2 linked regions of the Cricetulus griseus genome follow. The protein of the gene in region 1 purifies or fractionates together with the protein of each later gene. This does not show direct contact. Links are inferred from orthologs where the notes say so. Each region holds a gene or a part of one and is shown on either strand. Other genes may lie near its edges.

Region 1 (3,349 bases):
GCCAACGATGCCCTACAGCACTGCAAAATGAAGGGTACAGCCTCTGGCAGCTCCCGGAGCAAGAGCAAGGTGTGAAAGGCGGCTCACCTTCCACAGCAGTACAGGCTTAACTTATCCTGAAACCCCTTTGGGAAGCAGCATCCTAGGGGCGGTATTGGGCCTACTCAGGGTTATCTACGAGGGACTGGAATCTGGGATTACTGTGCTCAGCTGGTGGTCTTCCCTCTTCCCTTAGGACCGCAAGTACACCCTAACCATGGAGGACTTGACCCCTGCCCTCAGTGAATATGGTATCAATGTGAAGAAGCCGCACTACTTCACCTGAGCCACCTAACCCAGATGTATTTGTCTTTCCCTCTGTCCCCACACCAGCCTGTTTTCATAATAAACTTTATTGTGACAGGCAGGGCTTATCCCTCCCATGTTGGGAGACATCATGTGGCAAGTGACAAAGCTCTTGAGCCCAGCCCCTTTTGGGGCTACAGTGGTAGGGATGGGAGCAGGGATGAGCCCCATAACTGGGGTAGTACCATGATTGGAGACGGGAGGCAACCAGAGGCCTTCAGCTTTGGGGAAGTACACTCCCCCAACCTTGTTTTGACACCTCTGGAGTCTGGGCCAGGACCTTCCAGTCCTACTTGTCTTGCATCTTCTCCAGGATAGGCACAATCATGTCAAACTTGGGTCGCTTTGCAGGATCTTCATTCATACAAATCTTCATGAGCTTACACACGTGTGGGGAAATACCTGGTGGAATTGTAGGCCGAAGGCCTTCCAGTGCCACCTGGAAATTACAAGGAACAAGGTGAACTTCAGAGTTGGAGTTAATCATATGGTAAAAAAACTTTTGACCCTTCAATGGGATTACTATAAATCTGCACAAATTGTGAGAAGAGCTTGCCACAGCAATTGTCAGCACCACTACCCCTATACAAGTATGTGCAGTTCTATGCTCACCTTCATTCCGATCTCCATATTAGAGAGGTCAGCAAAGGGCACCTCTCGTGTCACCAGTTCCCACAGAAGCACTGCAAAGCTCCACATGTCTGCTGAGCGTCTGTTAGTGTCTTCAGGCTTCTTCTGCAGGGCTGGAAGGAAGAGGGCTTACTACTCCAGCTGCCTAGCCTGTCCTATCTCTGCCTCTTCCACTGTTATTGTGTTGGTTCTTCTCAATTCCCAACATGATGCCTTCACCTACCTTCAGGGGCCACCCAGGCAGGTGCATACATGCGCCCTGGGCACTGGAAAGAAAACTTGACATCAGCCATGCTGATTCGAGCAGTCATGTCTTCATCGATCTGAGGAAGAGAAGTTCAAAAAGGTGGGCCCTATTGTAGGCATGCAGAGGGCTTTGGGGACCAGTAGTGAACTTGTGGACTCACCATTACACTACGGCTATTTAGTGCATGTCGAGGTATGAGAGGCTCTAGTGTGTGTAGAAAAGCCATGCCTCTTGCCATGTCCAAAGCAAACTTTACAGCTTGGCTCTGGTCCACAACGAAATCTAACCGGAAGCAAGAATTAATTTAGAGTTTACCACCCCTATTTTAGTCCCTCCCCAACAAGGCCAGTATCCTTACTGGTGCCTTCATGTAGTACATTGTAGAGAGATCCATATGGCATCCAGTGTGTGATAAGGGTTGGGTGGGGAGCTGGTGGAGCCTGGCAAGCTCCTAGCACTGGAAGCACGTTTGGATGTGAGAAAATCCTGGGAGAGGGAGAGAGTGGTGAGACCCAACAGAATTTCCCTTTTCAGTACTATTTGGGCTTCCACTTTTGCTGTCCCACCTGAGCCGGGGACACTCTTCATTGAAGTCCCTGCTTTTCCTTGTACTCCAGTCTCGAACCTTCAGCACCTTCACAACAATGTCATTGCTCTGCCAGCGGCCTTTCCATAGCTGAAGGACAGGTAGAGGTTAGGCGGTATTAGCTCAGGCTATACTATTTCCTTTCTATTAACTGGAAGAAAACCTTAGAGATACAGAGTGGCAGTTTGTGAGTGTTAGAGAGGGAGGGGCAAGAAGGGCAGGGATCACCTCTCCAGAATGATTCTCGTTGAGCTTTGCCAGAAAGTTGAGCTGTTTGAAGTCAATACCGGAGTGTTTGTTCAGGGTCCCATTTCCTGAGAATATGGGTAGGTCAGGTACCCAGCTTCACCCTAACCCACTTCACTAGCCCAGGATCCTGAATTACAGCCCTTCCCCCCACAGCAGTGACTCACGGGGCCGAGTACGAGTGGTCCCCTTCCAGAATGTGTCCTTGTATGGAATACGGTTGAGATTCTGGCCCATCTTCTCTGCCCGTTCTGGGGAGGAAAAACAGTCTTAGCCTTAACTGTGATATAGAGGGAAGAGATGCAAGATAGGACAAGAGGACACAAGCTAGGGGTAGGGAATGGACCTCGGAGAAGCTCTCTAAGGGGTGCCTTGGCTTTGTCAACAGGCATCTCTCCATACTTGTTACAGATGCTGACAAGAGCCCCGTTAGCCACCAGGTCCTGCAAAGAAAAGATAATTTTTATTCAGGGGGAGGGGGGGCTGTTAACTGTGTCACAAGCAAGCACGAACAGAGATGCAGTGTACTGTCCTGTAAGTGTCACACAGTAGGATTGACAGGATGGGTTGATGGTTCCATGCTCAATTTGTTTCCCACTCATCCTAGGACTTAGGTCTGAGTACTTACCTCTGCCACCTGGTCTTGACCCCAGAAACAGGCATAGTGAAGGGGCACATTCCCATGCTCATTCACTGCATTGATGTCAGCCTTGTATTGCAACAGCTGCGCCCCATGGCCAAGAAAAGAAAAGAATATAGTCCCAAATTTAGATAGTACACATTCTCCATGTGACAATAGCTGTTACTGACTTCACAATTGTGTACATGTGAGATGTGGGTGTTGAAGGGTTTGCCCATACCTTCTGTACAATGTCACGGTGTCCATGACTGGCTGCCAGGTGCAGGGGGGTATCATCCCCACGATTCATCACATTGATACGTGCTCCTCTCATGATCAGCATTTCAACCACCGCAGAGCGGCCTTCTCGGCAGGCCCAGTGCAAGGGGGAGAAGCCATGATCATCCCTTTGAGAAAGAGGCATGGAATTGGAGGTTGGGAGGGACAAAAGCTTTGATGGGAGAATTCTATATTCACTGAGAAGGCTTGCCTCTCTAGTACTTAATTTTTACTCATGTCAGCAATTCACAAAGTTCAATTCAGATTTTCCCTTGAGCTTCACACCCAGTCACTCAGATGTCCCAACAACTGTAAGGTTTATTACTTTAATGACCATCTCCTAGATCCTCTTCCCTAGCAGTTCTTCATTAGGTGATAGCACTCTTCTGGGTTCTTT
Region 2 (3,567 bases), on another chromosome or scaffold:
ACCAAGGAGAAGGCGGGTGCGGACAGGGGTGCAGCATCTGTGAGAGCAGCAGAGCAGACAGAAGCTGGAAGCCTGATACCAAGCACAGTGCCAGGCACAATGGCTGGTAACCTGGTGCTAGACCAGGGCCACTTCTACCCCACAGATTGGCCCAGTCCCAGAATGTGAGACTGAACAGAGGCAAACAAGGAAAACCAAGGCCAGAGAGAGAGGACTCTCCCAACACCAAAGGCACAGTAAGCTTAGGGACGCTTTGGCTCCTGCCTCACTCCCCACACCAGCTCACACTGCCCTGTGATCTAGTGCCTCCTTGCCCCTTACCTGGCTCACCCTTGCCCACCCTGCTGGTGATGGTATGCATGTGCAACAGTGACACTGCCCTCTTCACAGCCACTGGAAGCTCTTCCTGGCACCAGGATTTATCCAGAGAACACTCTGGCTTCAGCAAGCGTAGTGTCACATGGCTCACCAAGGTGCCTGTGAGAAGAAAAGCAGCAAATGACCCACAAAGACACCACATCTGGCTAGAACACAAAGGCGGCACAGGAACAGTGGGAGCCTTGTCTCCACCCCTGCTGTGGCAGGTGTCTTAATTACTAAGTCTTTGTGACAGTATCCAAAGAGGGAGGCACAATAGCTGCCCTTTGTTTTTTTGGGGGGCGATGTTTATTTTGGGGCATGATGTCACTATGTAGCCCAGGCTAGCCTGAAACACAGGATCCTCATGGCTCCGCCTCCCAAGTTTTGGGATTACAGGCACAAAGTACCATGTCTGCAGAGCTGGTACTTTTGATACTAAATAGTCAAGAGTCACTGATCCCACAGTAAAGTTCCAGCTACAAAGTTCCTCCATCACGAGTTACTAATACTTCTCAGGCACCAACTGACATTTCTTCTCAGAACAGCTTGTAGACTCCAACCCCAGTCATGAGAACATTCCCTTTAGGCTAAGAAGAAAATCTACTTAAAGTTACCAATGGCTCACAAGAGAAGGCAATTGTAACTTCCACCCACCTGCTTGGCTTGTGTTTCTTCAGACCTTGTCACTGACACCTGCTGCTCATGAGCTCTGAGCACAATGACCAGCCACAGCACACCAACCCTCTCACTGTCTCTGAACCTGACTTTGTGGAGAACAATGCTACAAAGGGCTGGGGTGTGGCTCAGTTACCAGAGCACTTGCCTAGCATACAAGGCCCTAGATATGGTCTCCAGCACTAAAACAAAGCTGCTACAGAAAGATGAGATGCTAAGTAGCATGTAAAGTCTGCTCCTCAGCTGGGCGTTGGTGACGCACACCTTTAATCCCAGCACTCGGGAGGCAGAGGCAGGCAGATCTCTGTGAGTTCGAGGCCAGCCTGGTCTCCAGAGCGAGTGCCAGGATAGGCTCCAAAGCTACACAGAGAAACCCTGTCTCGAAAAACCAAAAAAAAAAAAAAAAAAAGGCTGCTCCTCAGAAGTCAGAGAAAATGCAAAATGGAGGGAAGAGGCAAGACTTCACTGTTCTTGAGCATATCCAGTGTGAGGTTCCATAGGCTGCTTCCATGTGGAAACAAAATTAGGCAGCTTAGGCCACACATCTCCTTAGCATACCATGGCTACCTCCAGCCCAATTCCCAAACATCCCTGAGATGACCCCACAGACAGAAAATAAAGACTAACCCAAGGCCTTGAGTCTAGGGGGCATGACACAGGCAGCCAAGGACAGGAAGGGGCCTTTGACCCTGGGAGCAGCCAGGGGAGACTTCAGCAAGGGCAGGAAGGCGTCGACCAAAACAGGGATGTACTGGGTCAGGCCACACGGGTTCCTGGTCATGATGGCATCTAGCAGTCCGAGTGCCGCCTCTAGCTCCCCATCCAGCTGCAAGCAGAGCCACCAGAACAGAGTCAGCAGAGTCCAACCCGAGACAGCAAAGAGCAGGAATGGACCACAGAGGATCCTTCCGGCACTGTCATGTGCTGGTGATGGCTACTTACCTCCTGCAGCCGTCTCCGGATTTGTGCCTCCTTGTCCATCTGGGCCTGCAGCATCTCCTTCTGCTTGCTGGTCAGCTGCACCTCCTCTTTTATGCCTCTCTTCTTCTTTATCTCCTGAAGGGCCGGGGTCAGAAACCAACTCTATATCCACGGAACAGACCCGCTTCCAAAAAGGATTCCAGGTCAGACTCAAGTCTAGGACCAGGGCCTCAAGCCCAGCACTTGTGGTGATATGTGGCACAAATAAAGTTTGTCTGAAGATCAGAGGATGGAGCTTAACACTAGCTAATCATAGAGGTCTGGAGGTCTGTATAGACAGATAGGAAGTGAGAGGATATAAGCAGGAAAAAACCAGGAACTTGTGCCCTTTTCTACTGGTAAACTAATGAGATAAAGGTGGCTTTGGTTTGCTCCTTTTCTCTGATCTCTCAGCATTTTCCTCTACATCTGACTCTGGGTTTTTATTATTTAGACCTACTAAGAACTACAATTACAAGCACATGCCCTCCTTCCCCTCCATAAAAGGTCACAGCCACTGGATGCCTACAGAATGGAGACAGCAGCAAAGAAGCACACTTTAATCAGGATTCTCAGCTTAAAAAGATGAGGGGAGAAATAACAAGTCCTTCAACGATCTCCAAGGGGTATTCTGGTGGCCACATGACTTCAGATTAAAAACTTTAGCCTGCCCTCAGACCCAGCCAAGGCCCTTACAGGACATAGGCTGCTTGGGTTTCAAAGTATTGAGCACCTCATCATGCCAGGAGCTGTTTGAAATGCTGGAGACACTGGGGAGAAGATAAAATCCCTCCCCTCACAGAGCTTACAACCTGGCAAGTAAAGTCAGACAATAAACAGGGAAACAAATACATAAAACGACTGTGGAACATGACAAATGCTATAAAAGCAACAAGCAGGAAGAGAGTGAAGCAAGCACACCATGGACAGATGGGCAGTAAGTCCTTTTCTGGGAAGGGCAAGTGATGACGAGACAAGAAAGCCCAGCCTGAGCTGAGTCATCGTCCAGCCGGCAGTTCGAAGGGCACGGACCGTCGGGACAGAGCAGGGAACAAAGTAAAAGGAAAAAAAAAAAAGTCCAGCCTGGTGAAGACTGAGGGAGAGCATGGGCTGAGATAGGCTAGAGCTCTCATAAGAACCAGTTCTTTAGAGCATATTCTGTCAATCATCTCAAGGATCCCTGGGACTCCACAGGATCAGGAATCAAGACACACCTGTCCTCACAATGCTAGGGCCGGAAAGACAGAGCAGCAACGTGCAGTGACAACCCAGTCTCTCTCTAGCAGGGTTGGAGAAGACCAGGGATAAATCAGGAGGGAATGTAAGACATAGCAAGAGAGCTAGTGCTAAGCTCAGCAGGCCCCCAGAGATGATCCATGCACTCACCTCCTTTAGCTCGAGCTCAATGATCTGCTCCTTAAAGGAATAGGCTTTGTTCTCTCGCTTCATGTTGGCCTTTTTTATGCTGTCCTGCTGGGCACTGAAACACACCGGAGCCAGTTACCCAAAAGAGTCACTAGGCTCCTCAGCCTTCTGACAGCCACCAAGCCTAGCCAGCAAACCTGTATGTGT

What was found.
Region 2: the proteins of Ilk (region 1) and Gcn1 purify together in Homo sapiens (affinity purification with mass spectrometry; 3 studies listed by BioGRID and IntAct, with this or other methods). This does not show direct contact. The link is inferred for Cricetulus griseus from reciprocal best matches to the Homo sapiens genes ILK and GCN1.

The regions. Positions count from the first base shown.
Region 1 is NC_048596.1:93,960,254-93,963,602, forward strand, and holds the end of Ilk (integrin-linked protein kinase), read right to left. Parts: intron 3,081-3,349; coding exon 2,915-3,080; intron 2,779-2,914; coding exon 2,683-2,778; intron 2,498-2,682; coding exon 2,401-2,497; intron 2,306-2,400; coding exon 2,222-2,305; intron 2,123-2,221; coding exon 2,037-2,122; intron 1,899-2,036; coding exon 1,789-1,898; intron 1,709-1,788; coding exon 1,581-1,708; intron 1,505-1,580; coding exon 1,383-1,504; intron 1,299-1,382; coding exon 1,199-1,298; intron 1,089-1,198; coding exon 958-1,088; intron 785-957; coding exon 635-784; 3' UTR 547-634; downstream 1-546. UniProt on the Homo sapiens protein: Scaffold protein which mediates protein-protein interactions during a range of cellular events including focal adhesion assembly, cell adhesion and cell migration.
Region 2 is NC_048597.1:95,684,183-95,687,749, reverse strand, and holds part of Gcn1 (eIF-2-alpha kinase activator GCN1), read right to left. Parts: intron 3,476-3,567; coding exon 3,382-3,475; intron 2,092-3,381; coding exon 1,978-2,091; intron 1,862-1,977; coding exon 1,663-1,861; intron 478-1,662; coding exon 322-477; intron 38-321; coding exon 1-37. UniProt on the Homo sapiens protein: Ribosome collision sensor that plays a key role in the RNF14-RNF25 translation quality control pathway, a pathway that takes place when a ribosome has stalled during translation, and which promotes ubiquitination and degradation of translation factors on stalled ribosomes.